2 linked regions of the Stegostoma tigrinum genome follow. The protein of the gene in region 2 binds, or shares a complex with, the protein of the main gene of each other region. Links are inferred from orthologs where the notes say so. Each region holds a gene or a part of one and is shown on either strand. Other genes may lie near its edges.

What was found. The genes of interacting proteins can lie anywhere in the genome.
Region 1: the proteins of syt1a (region 2) and complexin-1 are in contact, whole or in part, in a crystal structure (PDB 5W5C), measured with the Rattus norvegicus proteins. The link is inferred for Stegostoma tigrinum from reciprocal best matches to the Homo sapiens genes SYT1 and CPLX1. Residues at the interface, in NP_001028852.2 of Rattus norvegicus: Glu271, Thr383, Gly384, Glu386, Thr406, Leu407, Gln408, Glu412, Met416; in NP_074055.1 of Rattus norvegicus: Val61, Met62, Gly65, Asp68, Lys69, Tyr70, Lys74.

Annotation. Positions count from the first base shown.
Region 1 is NC_081354.1:989,755-1,000,607, reverse strand, and holds the start of complexin-1, read left to right. Parts: upstream 1-6,082; 5' UTR 6,083-6,205; intron 6,206-10,853. UniProt on the Homo sapiens protein: Positively regulates a late step in exocytosis of various cytoplasmic vesicles, such as synaptic vesicles and other secretory vesicles.
Region 2 is NC_081371.1:61,645,877-61,656,596, forward strand, and holds the start of syt1a (synaptotagmin-1a), read right to left. Parts: upstream 4,904-10,720; 5' UTR 4,672-4,903; intron 1-4,671. UniProt on the Homo sapiens protein: Calcium sensor that participates in triggering neurotransmitter release at the synapse. May have a regulatory role in the membrane interactions during trafficking of synaptic vesicles at the active zone of the synapse.

The DNA of each region.
Region 1 (10,853 bases), on a different chromosome or scaffold from region 2:
TGGAGAATCCAAGATAATAAAGTGTGAAGCTGGATGAACACAGCAGGCCAAGCAACATCTCTCCTGAGATGCTGCTTGGCCTGCTGTGTTCATCCAGCTTCACACTTTATTATCTTAGTTCACCAGTTGATCTTTTAAAAAATGAAAATCAACTGGTTTTATGGTCTTAATTCCAGATTTTCTTGGATTCAAATTCCACCATTTGCTATGAATGTATTTGAACTCAGGTCCTCAAAGCATTACCTGATTTGATTTTGATTTATTATTGTCACATGTACTGAGATACAGTGAAAAGTATTGTTTTGAGTGCTATCCAGGCTTATCATACCTTACATAAGTACATCAGGGTAATAGAACAGAATGCAGAATATAGTGTTACAGCTACAGAGAAGGTGCAGAGAAAGATCAACTTTTAAAGTACGAGAGGTCCATTCAAAAGTCGGATGATAGTGGAGAAGAAACTATTCTTGAATCTGTTAATGTGTGTTTTCAAACTTTTGTATCCTCAGCCTGATAGAAGACGGTAGAAGAGAATATAACCAATGTGGGATGGGTCATGGCTGCTTTCCTGAGGCAGCAAGAAGTGTAGATGTGGTCAATGGATAGAAGGTTGGTTTCTGTGATGGACTGGGCCATGTTCATAACTCTCTGTAATTTCTTGTAGTCTTGGCAGAGCAGTTGTTAAAACTAGCTGTGATGCATCCCAATAGGATGCTTTCCATGATGCAACTATAAAAATTGGTAAGAGTCAATGTGGACATGCTGAATTTCCTTCGCCTCCTGAGTAGAGGTGTTGGTATGCTTGCGTGATTGTAACGTTGTTACAGAATAGATTGTTGGTGATATTTACTATCAGGAACTCAAAAGTCTAGACCAGTTCCAACTCAGCACCATTGATACAGACAGGGGCATGTCCTCTACTCTGTTCCCTGAAGTCAGTGACAAGTTCCTTCATTTTGCTGACATCGAGGGAGAGAATGTTGTCTTTGCTTCATACCACTAAGCTTTCTATCTCTTTCCTGTACTCTGACCCACCATTGTTTAAGAAATGACACACTATTTTGTGTCATCAGCAAATTTATAAATGGAGTTTGAGTGGAATTTAGATACACAGTCATGAGTTTGTAAGGAATATAGTAAGAGGCTGAGTATCCTGATGTTCCAGGCACATGTGTAGGGTCAGGGAGATGGTGTCTGCTATGGACCTAATGCAACAGTAGGTGAACTGTAGTGGATAAAGGCAGTCGGGGAGGCTGGAATTGATGTGTTCCATGACTAACCTCTCAAAGTATTTCATAATGATCGATGTCAGAGCCACCAGGCTGTAGCCATTAAGGCATTAAGGTCCCAGAAATTGAAGTTCCTGCTGAACAAAACCTCGGCATCCGTGACCTTTGAAAATAATCCAATGACGTTGGAGAGATTGGAGCAGTACCCCCCCAATTGAAATAATAGTTATCCAGGAAATGTTAGAGAATTAAAAATAAATTCTAACTCCTGGGTAACAATTAAACTGACCCCAAATTCACTACTCATCACGCCAGGCAGCATCTGAAGGACATGAGGAGTCAATGTTTCGGGTATAACCCTTCTCCAGGACTGGATGTGGGGTGGGGGTAGCAGATTGGGTTGTGATAGGTGGGCACTGGTGGTAGGTATGAACCTGGTTGGTCAGTGGGAAGGGAGGATCAGTAGGTGGAATGGAAGGGAGGAGGTGCGGCTGGAAAGGAAACCGGGGAGATGGGTGGCATTGAGTTCTCTGGTTTCAAATAACTCAGTGAGTGAACTATCCTAAGCTGGAATTTCAGGAACACAGCTGAGAACTGCCATTACCATGACACCTTCACTGTCCAGTAGCCTTTAATTACCCTGGCACACTGCTCTGAGGAAAGGTCACTGGACCCAAAATATTAACTCTGCTTTCTCCCCACAACTGCTGCCAGAACTGCTGAGTTTCTCCAGCGATTTCTGTTTTTGACCTGAGTGCAATTATCCGTTAACCTGATATTCCATGGTCTCCTTATTTCTGCCATTCGCCTGATCTCCCAAATCCTCACTGATGCAGGATGTGGTATTGCTGTTCTCCTGCTCAGCATCCTGCGCTAACCTGGAGTTTCAGTATTTTCCTACTGTTTACACTGATCTGGGCACACATTTAAAATTTTATGGTCAATATAATCCAGACTGTTCAAACCATGTTGGTTTTTGCTCCCAGTGTGAGGTGGAATTCTCTCTTTAATCTAACACTGACCTTGTTTTAGTTCAGCCCTGGCGCTATATGCAGAGTGAGTGAGAGCCAGAGTGGCATGGAGGCACTTGGCCAGCCTCTCTCTCTTGTTATAGCGCAGTTTCCTCTTCAGTCACAGTCTGCCTCATCCTCAGGCTCCAATCTCGCTAGATTCAGAGCAGGAAATGATAAGGTATCTTCCTCACGAGCTGCTGGCAACACTATCACCCTCAACACAGAACACCAACAGCCCAGCAGGCACAACCATCACACACAGCAGGCTAGACTGTTACCCCCAGCAGGCAGCACTGTTACCCCCAGCAGGCAGCACTGTTACCCCAGCAGGCTGGACCATCATCTCCAACAGGCAGGACTGTTACCCCTCCAGCAGGCAGGAATATCACCCCCAGCAGGCAGGACCATTATCCCCAGCAGGCAGGACCATCACCTCCAGCAGGCAGGACTGTTACCCCTCCAGCAGGCAGGAATATCACCCCCATCAGGCAGGACTGTTACTCCCAGCAGGCAGGACCATTACCCCCAGCAGGCAGGACTGTTACCTCCAGCAGGCAGGACCATCACCTCCAGCAGGCAGGACTGTAACCGCCAGCAGGCAGGACTGTAACCAGGAGAGAGAACCTGCACAGCAGCACTGTTAGGCCTGACAGGAGCTCAGTTGCGAGCATCAGCCACCCCCTGCCCCTGTCTCCTGGGGTTTGCTGTTTCTATGTGACAGTAAACTGGAGCAATTTGTTGGATCCAGGCACCAGGTGATTTCAGACCTTCCGGTTGCTTCCCCATTCGGGCCGGAAGCAAGTTTCCATCGCATCTCTGTTGCTGGGAGAAGGCAGTGAGCAGCCTGAGGTAGTGCATGGTATTTGGGACTTCCAGCTGTAGGGACGTGCTGGGGTTTCATTTATTGTTTGTTTCTGTAGGTTTGCGGGTGCTGTGGCTCTCCTGCTGGGATGGTGGGATAGTCAGACACACACACAGGGGCTCCTACTGGGATGGTGGGATAGTCAGTCACACACACACACACACACACATGGGCTCCTGCTGGGATGGTGGGATAATCAGTCACACACACACATGCACTGGGGCAATGGGATGGTGGGATAGTGACACACACACTGGGGCTGCTCCCAGCCCAGTGCCCCTTTCCCGGGCTTTGTCGCTCCCCAACCTCCTGCTTCCCGGGCTCTCCCTCCACCCCCAAATCCCGGGCTCTGCCCCCACCCCCCCACCCCGCGCCCTGGGCTGTGTTCCCCCCGCACATCCAGTTAATCTCAGCCTGCTCACTGCCTGCTCCTTGGCTCTCGGTTGCAGCGTGGTCCTGGGCACCGTTCCCCCACCCCCCCCGCCAACACACACCCCGGGGGTCGGGGCTGGTGTGACTGTGAAGCTGGTCCCCGGCTGCTGTCAGTGCTCGGTACCGTCCCAAAGCCTGTTCCCTCCCGGTTAGCCACAGAGCAGGACACTGGAGGGTTATCCCTGGGCACTGTCTGACCGCCTGGGAATGACTGTGATCCCAAGAAACTTCAGAGCAGGTCCCTCTCACCACAGTGCCCGCAATCAGAGGGAAACCTCACCGGCTGGGGAGAGGGAGAGAGAGTGGGAGGGAGAGGGGGAGAGAGGGTAACAGGAGAGAGGGAGAGAGAGAGGGAGGGAGGGGGGGAGAGGGTAACAGGAGAGAGGGAGGGAGAGGGGGAGAGGGTAACAGGAGAGAGGGAGAGAGAGAGGGTAAGGGAGAGGGGGAGAGAGGGTAATAGGAGAGAGGGAGAGAGAGAGGGTAAGGGAGGGGGGAGAGAGGGTAATAGGAGAGAGGGAGAGAGAGATGGTAAGGGAGAGGGGGGAGAGAGGGTAACAGGAGAGAGGGAGAGAGAGAGGGAGGGAGAGGGGGAGAGGGTAACAGGAGAGAGGGAGAGAGAGAGGGAGGGGGGAGAGAGGGTAACAGGAGAGAGGGAGAGAGAGAGGGTAAGGGAGGGGGGAGAGAGGTTAACAAGAGAGAGGGAGAGAGAGATGGTAAGGGAGAGGGGGGAGAGAGGGTAACAGGAGAGAGGGAGAGAGGGTAGGGGAGAGGGGGGAGAGAGGGATGGGAGGAGAGAGGAGAGGGGGAGAAGGTGAGGGGGATTTGCGGGAAGAAGGGAGAGACAAGGAGGAGGGAGAGAGGGAGGGAGAGAGAGAGGGAAATGAGAGACGGGGCGGTAGGGGGGCGTGGAAAAAGAAGAGAGAGGGATGGAGAGAGAGAGGGGTGAGTGAGAGACGGGGTGGTGGGGGGGAGAGAGAGGGACGGGAGGGAGTGGGGTGGGAGGGAGAGGGGAGTGAGGGAGAGAGAGAGAGAGGGAAGTGGGGGGGGAGAGAGAGAGGAATGAGACACGGGGCGGTGGGGGTAGAGAGAGGGGAGGAAGGGAGAGGGGTGGGAGGGAGAGAGAGAGGGGAGTGAGAGACGGGGCGGTGGGGGGGAGAGAGAGGAGAGGGAGGGAGAGGGGAGGGAGAGTGAGGGGGTGAGAGAGAGAGAGAGGAGTGAGAGACGGGGCAGTGGGGGGGAGAGAGAGGGGAGTGAGACACGGGGCGGTGGGTGAGAGAGAGAGGGGAGTGAGACGGGGCAGTGGGGGGTGGAGAGAGGGGAGTGGGAGAGGGGGAGGGAGAGGGAAGTGATGGCGAGAGGAGAGTGGGGGGGGAGAGAGAGAGGAGTGAGAGAGGGCGCGGTGAGGTGGGAGAGAGGGGAGGGAGGGAGAGGGGTGGGAGAGAGAGGGGAGTGAGAGAGGGCGCGGTGGGTGGGAGAGAGATGGGAGTGAGAGAGCGCGGTGGGGTGGGAGAGAGAGGGGAGTGAGAGACCGGGCGCGGTGGGGTGGGAGAGAGAGGGAAGTGAGAGATGGGGCGGTGGGGTGGGAGAGAGGGGAGGGAGGGAGAGAGAGAGAGGGAAGTGAGAGAGGGCGGTGGGGTGGGAGAGAGAGGGGAATGAGAGAGGGAGCGGTGGGGTGAGAGAGAGAGGGGAGTGAGAAGGGGCGACGGGGTGGGAGAGAGAGGGGAGTGAGGGGGGGGGCGGTGGGGTGGGAGAGAGAGGGGAGGGAGAGATGGGGCGGTGGGGTGGGAGAGAGGGGAGGGAGGGAGAGAGAGAGAGGGAAGTGAGAGAGGGCGGTGGGGTGGGAGAGAGAGGGGAATGAGAGAGGGAGCGGTGGGGTGAGAGAGAGAGGGGAGTGCGAGACGGGGCGGTGGGGCGGGAGAGAGAGGGGAGTGAGAGAGGGGGCGGTGCGTGGGAGAGAGATGGGAGTGAGAGGGGACGGTGGGGTGGCAGAGAGAGGGGAGTGAGAGAGGGGGCGGTGGGGTGGGAGAGAGAGGGGAGTGAGAGAGGGGACGGTGAGTGGGAGAGAGAGGGGAGTGAGAGAGGCGGCTGTGTGGGGGAGAGAGAGGGGACTGAGGGGGGGCGGTGGGGCGGGAGAGAGAGGGGAGTGAGAGAGGGGGTGGTGGGTGGGAGAGAGAGGGGAGTGAGAGAGGGCGCGGTGTGGGGGAGAGAGGGGAGTGAGAGAGGGTGTGTTGGGGTGGGAGAGAGAGGGGACTGAGAGAGGGGAGGGAGGGAGAGAGAGAGAGGGGAGTGAGAGAGGGGAGGGAGGGAGAGAGAGAGGGGAGGAGAGAGGGGGCCGTGGGATGGTGATGCGGTGGGGGGAGCTGGCTGGCCTGGTTGCAGATGGAATAGCGAGGAGACTATCTCCTAAGGGAACAGCAGGCAGTAATGGATGTGGAGTGGGGGGATGAATTTGCTGAGTAGGGAGATGTGTGTGTGCGGATTGGCGCAGGGAGGGAGGGATGGAGCGGGGGGGTGGGGGAGCTATTTTTAGAGAGAGTGCAGAGCTGGAATGTGTTAGTGCTGCTGAGGAAGGGGACGTGCTGGAGCCCGAGCTGGAGCTGTTCGTTCAGCACCTTCTCACACACACTCTCTTTCTCAGTCTCTGTCAGCCTGGTAACCAGCAGGAGCCGGTAAGCAATTCCAACCTCCTCTGTATCGCTAGCTCAGCTACAGGAGCATTTGCTGCCGAGGAAAGGGCCAGGAGCATGGTGTTGCCAGTTTGATGTGTTAGTGAGGGGGGGAGATTCGGACTACAGTGCGGCTGGAATCTCCGTTTCCTGGGCATTCGGTTCAGGAGCCTGGCTCAGAGTTCCCGCAACATGCACCGTGACTGTGTGTCGGAATTCAGGGGGCACCTTCCTGAAGGTGATCCCCGCCAACCCGGGGGCACAGATTGCGATAAGGAAATGGGTTTATTGTGAACAGCTGAGAGAGGCGGTTTGCCATTTGACAGAATCCGGAACCAGAGAGGGAACGGAGAGAGAGACAGAGACAGAGAGCCAGGCTCTCTCTCTGTAGGCAGTAAAACGGGATAGGCTGTGGGAACTAGCAAAACGCGATGCGGGTTTAGTGGCCGCGGTGTTTAATGCGACCCACGGCGACCTTGAGTTTATTGAAAGTCAGCAGTGTTCTCTCACAGTGCTGCCCGTGTTACAACAGGCAAGTGATCAGCGCGCACACACACGCACAGTGCACAGGATACACACTGTCCTGTACACACACTGCCCTGTATATACACACACAACACGGTTCTGTACACGCACAGCACAGGCTTGTACACTCACAGCATGGTCCTGTACACACATGGCACTGCCCTGTACACACATAGCGCTGGCCTGTATATGCACACACAGCAATATCTTGTACACACACAGAGCACTATCCTGTACACACAGCACTGCCCTGCACACGCACACAGCACTGTCCTGCACACGCACACAGCACTGTCCTGCACACGCACACAGCACTGCCCTGCATACGCACACAACACTGTCCTGCACACACTGGGCATTGTCCTGTATGCATACAGCACTGTCCTGTACACACACAGAGCACTGTCCTGTACACACACAGAGCACTGTCCTGTACACACATCCAGTACTGTCCTGTACACACACAGCACTGTCCTGTACACACATCCAGCACTGGCCTGTACACACACCCAGCACTGTCCTGTACACACACCCAGTACTGTCCTCTACACACACCCAGCACTGTCCTGTACACACACCCAGTACTGTCCTGTACACACACCCAGTACTGTCCTGTACATACACACAGCACTGTCCTGTACACACACAGCACTGTCCTGTACATACACACAGCGCTGTCCTGTACACACACCCAGTACTGTCCTCTACACACACCCAGCACTGTCCTGTACACACACCCAGTACTGTCCTGTACACACACACAGCACAGTCCTGTACACACAGGGCATTGTCCTGTACACACACACTACTGTCCTGTACACTAGCCACAAGGAAAGCTATTTCCACATTGACCCAGAATCTTGAACCTGAAAGTACCCTATACAGAATCATTTCCTTCCAGTCAGCAAATAATTTCACCCAGCAATTTTCTTTCGAGATAGTTTCGGAGTTTCCACCGGCAAACCAGTGGCACGGAGCCCTTTCAATTAATCAGTCCCCGCGGATGAGAAATTAGCAAACGCGATAGCAATTTGGCACAACAGAGTGGAAAGTAATTGCTGTCCGGGGGAGGAACTGCAGTTATATGAGACCGTGCAGGATTGACCCTGAACGGCCAGAAGCCCGGAGGTAAGCCCGGAAAGTATGGACAGAAAGGGAAAGTATGAACTTCCGATAATTCCTAACTATATGTCAGCAACAGTAACACCGCAGGCAGCTTCTCATCTACTACTCTCCCATTCAATAAAAAATCTTCCGAAAGTGACAGTACATATGCACGAAATCGCGGAGACGGAGTAGAAAACAGGTATCGCAGCCATCAGTTATTCCTCAGCATTCAGAGCTCAGATTAGTCTCCGGATTACTCACATCACAAAGCAGGCAGGATCATTCCCCAACCAATGCTACTGAGATTGGGGGAAAAAAACTCTCCGATTGTCACACTGGAGGGAGACAGTCAGAAAACAGGAATCTTCCCCCATTCTCACTATGTCACAAGTTACAGACACCAGGTTATAGTCCAACAGGTTTACTTGAAATCGCAAGCTTTCGGAGGGCAGCCCCTTCGTCAGGTGAACCCTGAAAGTATGTGTTTTCAAATAAACCTGTCAGACTATAACCTGGTGTCTGTGACTTCTGGTCTTGTCCGCCTCAGTCCAACACCGGCACTTTCACATCAATCTCACAACGGAGAGAGACAGTCTCATTTTCCAAAAGCTAGTGTAATTAAAAAGAACTCCAAGTCCTCACTTTTATATGAGAGCGCCTTTTCAGTTAACCACGTTCCCACAAAGCCCGCAGCCCAGTGATTACTAGCTCCCTACATTTATACAATCAATTAATTAGCTCTTCATTTGTATATGCATTACTTCTCATTTTATTAGGTCTCAGGCAATCCTAGATTATAACAGTACCTAAAGCTACTGGAGAAATTCAGCAGGTCAGACAGCATCAATGGAGAGAAAGCAGAGTTGTTTTGGTCCCTTCCTCATTGAGTCCCTTCCTCACTGAACTTGTAACGTTAACTGCATTTATTAGTATATGCTGTCAAACCTGCTGAGTTTCTCCAATAATTTATGTTTTTGTTTCAGATCTTCAGCATCTGCAGTTCTTTGATTTATTTTAGACGATAACAGATATACTTTTTCTTCTTAGATAATTCAATCTATAAGAATAGGAAAAAAAACACCAAAATGATGACAGATTATATTCAGAGATAGCAAGAACTGCAGATGCTGGAGAATCTGAGATAACAAGGTGTAGAGCTGGATGAACACAGCAGGCCAAGCAGCATCAATGGAGCAGGAAAGCTGATGTTCTTGGATCTGGATCTTTCTTCAGAAAAGGTTATATTCCCATTTTTTTTCTTTGCATATTAAAATTCCAAGTGACCTTTTCTGGTATGCCCAACAGTTTCTCTGAAATTGTTGCTTTCTTAGTAAAATAACCAGATCACTGACTGTTGTTTTTCACCTATTTCAATTTGGACATTTCTCCATTCTTCACCATTTGCTATACTGATCCTCAGCCTTTTTCTCAATGTTGAGTTTACATTATTCCGCAGTGATTTATTATCGATACAGCGCTCATTGGGTATTGTTGCTGAATCCCTATTTGATTTTCTTTCAATATTTTTGATAAGGAAAATACAATTTCTACCACCTCACCAAGAGTTAAAGCCTGTACCATTAATGTACTTTTTACTCTTTTCCAATCTTTTTAGCTTCCCAAGCTAAAGTGTAACATTTACCTCCCTTTCCTACAAGAAAGATTTTGAACCTTTCTGCATGTGGAAACCAATCACAGAGATTTGCTTAAGGAACATCACTAAAAGCAAGTTTTGTGCTCCTGGCATCTCCCATTAATAGAATGTTTAAAACACTATGTTCCATTTTTAATTTTTTCAATGGATTGTTGCCTAAATGATATCTTCTGCCTTGGGAGTTCTCATAGTTTTACTCAACTCTAATACTTTAAAATTAGCATCTTGCCTTATTTAAGTGCCAGCTAATATATCTGTCCAATGACCCTTCACAATTCCTCCACTTCGGCTTTGGAAGCTACTGTATCTTTTCGTGAAACCCTATTTTGACAAATAGCAATGGCTAAACATTTTCCAAATAAGATTGCTGTTGAAAAATGACATTGATCTATGTTGCTGCATTTCCATTCCAGTATCTGACTTCTAATTTTGAATTCTGCTTTAATTCCATTCATGACAATGTTTTTGAATTCACTGCTCTTACTCCATAAAACATCATGTAAATGCAGCATAAAAATGCTTGAAAGCTGTCCTTTATAATGCCAGTAAAACATGGCAGGGCCTTCTTTTAACTGAAGATAACCCAATTTTAATAAAACATACCTTTCTGAGAAGCAACAAACTCTAGAAGCATCATTCATGTGCACTTTGATTTAACTTACAAAGTGCCTCATTGCAAATGTGCCTTTTTAAGAGATAAAGAAACACTTCCCTCTTAAGTTGTTGTCCCTGTAGCTTTAATAGATTGATCACTCTCCCAAGCATTCATAACTACTAAGCCAAAAATTTATTTTTTATCCTATCAGTGAATCTACCCTAGTATCCTGATCCTTCATTTTTCTTCAAAACCTTGTGTCACCAGCCTTGCTTCAGCCTCATAAGTTCCATTAAAGGACATCTTTTCAATTCATACCCACTATTCTGTTGGAGCTCGTTGTGTCCCTGCTGGCACCTCTATGCATACATGTACATTCAAATACTCCGAAAAAGTAAAATCAATTGCAGTCTCTTCCCAAGATAGGAGCTGAACATTTATTATTGATGTAACTTTAGGGTTCTTGCTAAAACTATCTGCTGTGAAAAATATCTTCCAACCATCTGCAATGAATTCCTAGCATGAGCAGCCCACACTAGTGGAGGTGATAATTTAAGGTTTTGCTGATCTAACAAAATCTTATGAACTATTTTGTCTATTACTGCATGGTTCCTTTCATGTAACCCATTGCTAAAATCTGATGCCATATTCATAACCGTTACATTTATATTAACCCATATATCTCCAAATTCATCATTCGCAGACTCTGTCTCCCCACCATTATCATTGAGAAATTTTGCCAGTTATGCAAGTCCAGTACCCGTCCGCTT
Region 2 (10,720 bases):
TTTCTAAGGGTCAGTGTCCATTTGCTCCCTGCCCATCCATGTACCTGTCCAAATATATCTTAAAAGACGCTAAAGTGTCTGCGTCTACCACGTCCGCTGGGAACGCGTTCCAGGCACCCACCACCCTCTGTGTAAAGAACTTTCCACCCATATCTCCCTTAAACTTTCCTCCTCTCACTTTGAACTCATGACCCCTATTAATTGAGTCCTCCACTCTGGGAAAAAGCTTCTTGCTATGCACCCTGTCTATACCCCTCATGATTTTGTAGACCTCAATCAGGTCCCCCCTCAATCTCCATCTTTCTAATGAAAATAATCCTAATCTATTCAACCTCTCTTCATAGCTAGCACCCTCCATCCCAGGCAACATCCTGGTGAACCTCCTCTTCACCCTCTCCAAAGCATCCACATCCTTTTGTTAATGTGGCGACCAGAACTGTACACAGTACTCCAAATGTGGCCGAACCAAAGTCCTATACAACTCGAACATGACCTGCCGACTCTTGTACTCAATACCCCGTCTGATGAAGGAAAGCATGCCATATGCCTTCTTGACCACCCTATTGACCTGCGTTATCACCTTCAGGGAACAATGGACCTGAACACCCAGATCTCTCTGTTCATCAATTTTCCCTAGGACTTTTCCATTTACTGTATAGTTCGCCCTTGAATTAGATCTTCCAAAATGCATCACCTCGCATTTGCCCGGATTGAACTCCATCTGCCATTTATCTGCCCAACTCTCCAGTCTATCTATATTCTGCTGTAATCTCTGACAGTCCCCTTCACTATCTGCTACTCCACCAATCTTAGTGCCATCTGCAAACTTGCTGATCAGACCACCTACACCTTCCTCCAAATCATTTATGTATATCACAAACAACAGTGGTCCCAGCACAGATCCCTGTGGAACACCACTAGTCACAGGTCCCCAATTTGAGAAACTCCCTTCTACTACTGCTCCCTGTCTCCTGTTGCCCAGCCAGTTTTTTTATCCATCTAACTAGCACACCCTGGACCCCATGTGACTGCACTTTTCCCATCAGCCTGCCATGGGGAACCTTATCAAACACCTTACTGAAGTCCATGTATATGACTTCTATAGCCTTTCCCTCATCAATCAACTTTGTCATGTCCTCAAAGAATTCTATTAAGTTGGTAAGACATGACCTTCCCTGCACAAAACCGTGTTGCCTATCACTGATAAGCCCATTTTCTTCCAAATGGGAATAGATCCTATCCCTCAATATCTTTTCCAGTAGCTTCCCAACCACTGGCGTCAGGCTCACTGGTCGATAATTACCTGGATTATCCTTGCTACCCTTCTTAGACAAGGGGACAACATTAGCAAGTCTCCAGTCCTCCAGGACATCACCCGTGTCTAAGGATGCTGCAAAGATATCTCCTAAGGCCCCGGCTATTTCCTCTCTCACTTCCCTCAGTACTCTGGGATAAATCGCATCTGGACCTGGGTATTTGTCCACCTTAATGTCTTTTAGGATACCCAACACTTCCTCTTTCCTTCTGTCAACTTGACCTAGAGTAAGGAAACATCTATCCCATCCTCAGCATCCGTCATATCCCTCTCCTTGGTGAATACCGAACAAAGTACTCGTTAAGAATGTCACCCATTTTCTCTGACTCAGCGCATAACTTTCCTTTTTTGTCCTTAAGTGGGCCAATCCTTTCTCTAGTTACCCTCTTGCTCTTTATATATGAATAAAAGGCTTTGGGATTTTCCTTAACCATGTTTGCCAGCAATCTCTCATGCCCTCTCTTAGCCTGCTTAATCTCTCGTTTCAGATTCACAATCCCTCGTTCAGATTCAGAACTCTCGTTCACCTCAACCCTCATTTACGTCAACCCTCATCCATCTCAATTGCTATCCACCTTTACCCCATCCAGCTCAACCCTCATTCACCTCAACCCTCATTCACCTCAACCCTCATTCATTTCAATCCCCATCCATCTTAATCCCCATCCATCTCAATCCCCATCCACCTCAACCCTCATTCACCTCAACCCTCATTCACCTCAACCCTCATTCACCTCAACCCTCATTCATCTCAATCCCCATCCATCTTAATCCCCATCCATCTCAATCCCCAACCACCTCAACCCTTGCCCAACTCAATCCCCATCCACCTTCACCCCATCCACCTCAACCCTCATTCACGTCAATCCCATCCAGCTCAACTCCCATCCACCTTCACCCCCATCCACCTCGACCCCCATCCATCTTCAACACCACCCACCAGAAACCACCATGCTTCATTCAGCGTTATTGCACCAAGGTGAAATGAACCATGAAAGGAACCGTTGGATACTCACTCAGGGTCCTCTTTGGTACAGTGGTAGTGCCCCTACTACTGAACTGGGAGGCCCAGGTCCAAGTCCCATCTACTGCAGAAGAATGTAATAACATCTCTGAACAGATTTTTTTGAAAATATTTAGGATCTTCACTGAATCTTTGTGGGACTTCAGTGCGTGGGATCAAACTGAAGGAGATGGAAATTACTACACAATGTGTTTGAGTGGAGCTCAGGCCCCTGGTGGGTTAGTTTCTGGGATGGAGTTGGCAGCAGTTAGAAACTGTGTGACTGAGAGAGGAAGTATGTGTTCTGATCTCTCTTCATAGTGCCCTGTTTCTCAGGAGGCTGTGCTGCATGTTTGACAGACCTACCCAGGTCACTCTATCAGAATATTTGCCAATATCAAACGATGAAAATTCCTTCTCGTGTAAGGGCAGTGACCTGGGGAGATTCTGACTCTCGGTCTCTGTCTCTCTCACTAGTTCAGTGGAATCTGATGTTCTCTGGTTGGAGTTTGGAGGCATTGGGAAAACTACTCTGTATTTCCTGCTGAAATTAACACCAACAGTAATGGGGGGGGGGGCAGTGCGGGTGGAGAAAGTAAGATGCTGTTGCTGATACAATTGTCTGCTCTTTCACTGGGTCCAGTCAACCTGTAGGAGCCAAAGTAGTGGGACTCCTGTTCCTGTACAGCTGTATTTCAGGGTGACAGACTCAGCGCTCCACATCTCACGGGAGATTAATACATGGTTATAAATCAGTGTATAAATATGGATATGGCATACAGGCACAGAGATCAGAAGATCAAATCAAGTCGAAAACTCCTTGTCCTTCACACCGTCTGTTCGGAATTCCACTCCCACTGTTCGGAATCCGGTCTAAATCCCTGGGAATTAACCGCAGCTCGGTCCCCAGTCCCCAGCCCATTCCAGGGGAGGATCGGCAAGGTGTACAAATACCCCCAGCAACTGAGCAAAACCGATTCTCCCCGGAGATGACCCACAGGCTTGGCCGAAATCCTTTGCCGCTGGTTTCCGGCCATTCCCCGACATCTTTGCCCTGGCTCCTTCTCCCAGGATTGAGCATTCTCCATGTTCCCGTCTTGTATATGTGTGCCAGTGTGTGTGTATGTGCCAGTGTGTGCCATTATCAGTGAGTGTGTGCCAGTGTGTGTGCCAGTGTCAGTGAGTGTGTGCCAGTGTCTCTGTGTGTGTGCCAGTGTCTATGTGTATGCCAATGTGTGTGCCAGTGTGTGTGCCAGTGTCTGTGTGTGTGCCAGTGTCTGTGTGTGCCAGTGTCTGTGCATACCTGTGTGTGTGCCAGTGTCTGTGTGTGTGCGTGCCAGTGTGTGTGCGTGTGTGTGTGTGTGTGTGTGTGTGATTGTGTGTGTGAGTATGTATGTGCTGGTGTGTGTGTCAGTATGTGGGCATATCTGTGTGTGTGAATCAGTGTGTAATTGTGTGTGTCACTGTGTATCTATATCTGTGTCAGTTTGAGAGATTGTGTGACTGTGTCAGTGTGTGGGAGGGAGATTGTGTCTCTATGTGTGTCAGTGTGTGGGAGATTGTATGTCCACTGTGTGTGTGTATATGAGATTGTGTGTCAATGTGTGTGAGATTGTGTACCAGTGTGATTGTGTGTGTGTGCGTATGAGAGAGAGAGATAGAGAGAGAGAGAAAGTGTGTGTGTACTGATTAAATTACAACTAGTAGGCAATCAATGTGCTGTTTCTGATAAACACCTTTTGTGAATTCATTGCCGATTTGGAATTGACCGAGATGAACACAGTAAGCGGACTGACTGAACCCAACGGAGATATGCTCCACCTACGGCGGACTCTCACTAAACCAGGGCAGACATTCAGCGAGTGTTGGACAGAAACAGAGGAAATCTCTTCCTCATCACACACACACAGCCCTAACACAGCAATAGCAGGAACAACACACCGAGCAAATGAAAGATGACATTTGTTTTCGCGTTCTCCCTGATGGAGAGTGGCAGAGACGAACACACACACACACACACACACACACACAAAGGTTTACAGTCAGTATCAATCCCACTCCTCTGGTCACAGTTTCTCCACCTCAACTTTCTGGGACACACATAGTCCCGCTCCTTCCCCTCTGTCACCCGCCTCACTGACTCGCAATGATTCGGGTGAAGGGGATATTCCTGATAGAGCTCAGGGAACACAATCCTGAGCTGACACGTTCCTCCCATTCCGAGAGGGAGCATTCATTAGACTATAGTCCCTTCCCAAATATAAACCAACCCCAGCAACAGGGTTCCTGCCAGTCACACTTTCAGCATGGACAGAGAGAGAGGGGGACAGCTTGGGAACACAACATCTCTTACCTGGAATGATGTCCTTTATTTTGTTTAAAATAAACAGAAAATCTATTTAGCTGAGGCTGCCTGAGGAATAGAGACACACAAATTACAAGGAATGCACTTTTTTTTCTCTCTCTCTCTCTCTCAGTTTCTCTCTTGTTTGCTCCTCACGGCCAGGCTTTGCAGAGATTTGGTTCCAAGTGCTGAGAGTGAAGGGTTTTATACTGCGGGAGACAGGGGGGTAACCGTCACTTTAGCAGAGAGACACTGCAGCTCTCAGGAAAGCCTCCAGTGAGAACCTACTGCATCACTGAGTCCTTGTGTATGATTGGACACAGAAAAGTGCTGCCTCGCATACCTAATCCAGCAGCAAGAAACAGGGACACAGCTCCATTTCGTCTTCTCTCACACACACACACACATTGGAGAGAGTTCCCGCAAGAGGCGCCCGCAGCACCCAGCTCAGTCTTCCAGGAGACAGGTGGGGAGCGAGGGTGGGGGTGTGGGGGTGTGGGGGTGGGATCTAGATAGCCCCCAACCCTCTGCCCTGACTGCTTCCCTTCACCCAGAGGGTCTCACTACTCTCAACAATACCACACCACCAGCGACACTAACAGAAGCAAGCAAAGGGGAGGAGAGATTTTCAGTCAGGGATTGTTGCTATGAGGGTATGGGGATGCTGTCCCCGAGTTTACCTGGAGTAGACCTGAAGCTAGATGTTTACTGTGGGTCTGAGCTCCTTCAGGTCCCCAGCCCAGAGCCAGCCAGGGGTCACGCAGTGGAAGTTTATTGGCTCGGGAGCACAGAGCTGGGGACTTGAGTTTGAGTTTGTAACTGCACAAAGCCATCCTGCACATCCATATCTAGGTGGGCATCATGTGACTAAGAACATTGCCCCACCTCACAGTACTGTGTTTCCAGCAGCTGCTTTTCAAGCATATTTGGTTTGGACCTCTCTGAACCAGCTTGAGAATCAAATCCCAGCTGCCATTTCAGTTCTGAGGGAGTCCTACCCTGTCACTGGGGCCAGAACACCAATCACCCTCCTCCAGTAACCAAAAAATCCTGGCACACTATTCAAGACAGAGTTGGGGAGAGTTACTTCATGGGGTCTTGCTACACACAGTTAGGACCAGACCCCAGGCTCATGATGGGATACAGCTAAATCCCTGGGTGAGGAGGCATGACCAGGCTCTCCCTCTTTATTCAACCACACCCTCTTCCCCCAAATAGTTCCACGGATTAATTAAAAAAAGATGCATTTCTGTATTGGAAAGATTGCACCTGCCTGGTGATGAGACACATGGTGTATGTTTTCAATTGTGACCAGTTTGTACCTTGTCCACATAACCCAGTGCCTGCAATTTATATCACAATTACATTGGATTTTGGGGTGATCACAACTAGATTACACTGTGCAGTTTTGCTCTCCATTTCTATGAATCTTGGAGGGTGAACAATGAAACTTGACTGGATGTGTTGAAGCTTGACACCATCCAGGACAAAGCAGTTGCTTGATTGGCACCACATCCACAAACATCCCACTCCCTCCACCACCGACGCTCAGTAGCAGCAGTGTGTACTGTCTACAAGATGCACTGCAGAAATTTACCAGAAATCCTTAGCACCTTCCAAATCCCTAACTACTTCCATCAGAAGGACAAGGGCAGCAGGTACATGGGAACACCACCCCCTGCAAATTCCCCCTCAAGCCCCTCACCATCCTGACTTGGAAATATCTCACCGTTCCTTCACTATTACTGGGTCAAAATCCTGGAATTCCCTCCCTAAGGGCATTGTGGGTCAACCCACAGCACATGGACAACATCGGTTCAAAAACACAGCTCACTACCACATTCTCAAGGGGCAACTAGGGATGGGCAATAAATGCTGGCCTGGCCATGAATGCCCACATCCCATGAGCGAATGAATAAATGTGGTATGAGGTGAATAGATAGAATTAAGGTAAAAGATCACCTGCTATCGTAACTGAGGATGCTTAAGGGGCCAAGTGACTAACTCCTGTTCACAATTCTTACACTTTACACATTTTATGAAGTGAATCTCCCACTGACTGTAGCTGAATGCTCAACAACTAAATTCTATTCCCGCAATCTTTGGAAAATTAAAATTGTGTTTATATGACTTTTGTTGTTATCTCTTAGTCTCTCTCTCTCTCTCTCTTCTCTGTGTCTTTCTGTCTGATTGTGTCTCTTCACTGATTCGTTTCTTTCTTCCTGTCTGTTTCTCTCTATCACTTTCTCTCCCTCTCTCTCTCTTTGTCTCTCTTCCTTTCCATCTCTGTCTCTCTGCCTCTCTCTCAGTCTCTTTGTCTCCCACCATCACTCTCTCTGTCTGTCTTTCTCTTTCTGCAATCTCTTTTTCTCTGACTCTCCTCTCACTCTCTATCCTCTCTGCCTCTCCTCTTTCTCCTCTCTCTCTGTCTCCATGTCTCTCTCTCTCTGTCCTCTATCTCTCCCCTTCTGGCTCTTCCTTTCTTCACTGTGTCCATCTCTTTCTTTCTCTCCCTCTCTCTCTCTCTCTCTCTCTCTGCATCACCCCATCCCTACTCTCTCTCTCCTGCCTCTCTCCTCATTACACATATGTTATGATGACTTCAGCCAAATATTCCTCCTGGGCACAGGACTGTTGCCAGCTTCTAACTCAGTTTTCAAAAAAGACTGTTCATCTATAAATAGTGCATTGGCTTATGTTATAAATGAGGGACCTGTGTGGGTTGGGGGCTGTGCAGTGTTTGTAAATTTACTCTGAATGAAGTATAACTGCAAACTGACTCCCCCGAGTTACACTGCAGAACAGGAGGCATTGCTGTGAATTCCACTCCTGGTGAGAAGGCTGCGTGCAGAGAATTTGCTGAAGCGATTACATAAGAATGTTAAAAGATTCACACGTGTACATCCTATCTCTCACACACATACAAATAAACACACTCACATACACTGTGTCAGCGATACAGAGACTCATCCACATGTTCACACTCTGACACACTGTGCACCTGCTGACAAATACGCACACCTACTAACACACACCGACTTGCATAGTGCATCTGTAGTCAGACACAATTCCAGATTGCACATACATCCAACAAATCTCTCACATGGCTGCCTGTGCATACAGTCTCTTCTTACACACACACACACACACACACACACACACATACTCTCTCTCTCTCACTCTCTCTCACAAACATACATTCATAGTCACACAAACTCTCTCACACACAGACAGACAAACTCTCACACACACTCTCACACTCTCTCTCACACACAGACACACACACACTCTCACATACAGGCCCAGTCTCTTTCTCACACACACACACACACACACACACACACACACACACACACACACACACACACACACACACACACACGCTTTGATCCTCCTGATGTGACAATTCCTCCAGGATCCCTGCTGATGTCAGGATGCTAACCTTGAGAGGTTGGAACTCTGAGATATGTCCTAAAGGGGATTCATATATTAACACGAAGGCGAGGAATTTTAAGTCACAGTTTCTGCCATTTTTGGCCACCACCTTCTATCAAATACAGGATGTCAGTTTAATTGCATTTGGTTGCTGTTGCCTGGTAACAGGAAGGATATATAGTTTTTGAAAATTTATTAGCCCAGTGTGCAATATGACAGAATAATAAATTAAATACGTGAACTACAAGATATCACCAGTTTTAATCTAATGTTAAATGTCAAATGAAATTCCAAACACAGACCTTCACATCTCCAATCAAGTTTTATTTAGTTATATTATACAGAATTACTTTCAACAACAGCATAGTGTGGTGTGTTCAATGTGTGTGCATAATTATGCTCCATTAATACTGTAACTTGTGAGAAAGCAGCTTTAATATCTCCCACTTTTGGAGATATTTTCTTAACCATCGCGCATGATTGGCCTCAACTTTACATTCTCAGATAAGTTTAACGTCTCCAATGCTGGATTATCCCATTACAATGTTACATTGTTGATCTGTTAACATTAACATCACCTGCTGATTTATTCTGATCTCTCCAGCTTTCAAGGTTATAAATTAAGTGGCACAGTTTTAAAGACAGTGCAAGAACAGAGGGACCTGGAGGTTCACAAACACAAATCTTTTAAAGTGACAGAGTAACGAATGAGATTGCTGAAGCGACAAATGAAATCTGTAAGCCTTTAGGCCTGGAAGTGTACAGCACAAATGGAAGGCATTTACAGAAAACCTTTATCCAGTACTGGCCTGACCTCATTTAAAGAATTGTGTTTAATCCTGGTCACCACACCTTAGCAACGATGCCAAGACATTGTTAGAGGTGTAGAGGAGATTTACTCGAATGGGACCAAGGATGAGGGACTTCAGTGAATGTGGAGAGACTGAGTAACTGGGGTTGTTCCACTGATAGGAAAGATAGTGAGAAGAAGATCCGAAGATGGTGTCAGTTTGTGTCATTTCTGACTTTTAGAGTTTGCTTTTTGTTTTCTGCGTTCAAAACGAGGAAGGATTTTGATAAAATAAATATGGAGAAAACCATTACCAGTGACCAGGGGGTCAGGAACGAGAGGAACAAAAACAGAAGTTGCTGGAAAATCTCAGCAGATCTGGCAGCATTTGTAGTGGGGAAACAGAGTTAATGTTTCAAATCCAGTTACTGTTCTTCAGAACCCTTCTTCACTGGACCTAGAACATTAACACAGCTTTCTCTCTCCACAGATGCTGCCAGACCTGCTGAGTTTTTACAGCAATTTCTGCTTTTGTTTCTGATTTCCAGCATCCACAGTTCTTTTGTTTTTTTTTGTTTAGCAACCAGCGAGATTCTGATGTAAGATTACGGGTAAAAGAACAAACGCGAGATGAGGAGAACTATTTTAACTGAGTGTGTTTATAAAATCATAGAAAATCTATGAGACAGAAGGAGGCCATTTACCCCATCATGTCCATGACAGTTACCAAAGGGTGATCTAGCCTTGTCCTACTATTCTGCACTAGGCCTGCAGTACTGTTGTGATCTGGGAAGTGCTGTCTGAGAGGGTGTTAGAGAAAGACTCAATAGTAACATTCAAAAGGAGAAAAATGCACAGATTTGGAAGCTAATACAGGGAGAAGTGAGATTAATTGGATAAGGAGATGGAACTGACGTGATGGGCTGAATGGCCTCCTTTGGTGCTGTGTCATTCTATAATTCTATGAGACAAATAAAATGAAAATTTTACCAAAACTAACACATTGTCCAGAGACAACGGCATAAATACTGATAAATTTTGCTGACTCTGTTAGAGTCTCACAACATTGAAATCCTATGGAAATGTTTTACAATAAAAGAAACAATTTTGCTTTACTACCATTGACAAGTATGTTATTGTTGTGTCAGAGTTCAGGTTGTGACAGAGTGTTGGTTCAGTTCAATCTATTATATTGAGATATTCTGCCAATTTCTTTGGGTGTTGCATCTTCAGGTCAGCATGATGGCAGGGCGGTGACTTATTGTCTCTTCAACATTTTTACAGGAGCCTCAATATATTTTGACAACAACCTTTATTTACAGTCATTGATCCACACTCACTCAAAGTGTCTCCTCCATGCAATCTCTCTCCAATTCTCACTCACTGAATCACACTGGGAGCGAGAGAAGGAGGACAAAAAAATGAAGGAGAAGGAGGAGGAGAAAAAGGAGCTGGAGAGGACACAGTGGGATTACCTCCGCACCAGTGACAATGCGACTGAGGTAATGCTTTGAGGGCAAGGCTCAAATCCTAGCACGGCAGATGGTGAAATGTGAATCAACTAAAAATATGGAATTAAAAGTCCAATGATGACGATAAAAACCTGTTGTAAAAACATGCTGAGTTTGCTAATGTACCTTAGGGAAGGAGTCTACTATCCTTACCCAGTAGGGACTACACTACAATACACTATGGACACTGAACTGCCCTCTGGAATGTCTGGCTAAGTCACTCGGTTGGATCAATTGTCAGAAAGAGAAAGCAGAATGAAACCAGAAGAGATAACAAGAACCTCAGATGTTGGAGTCAGGGTCAACACAGTGTGGAGCTGAA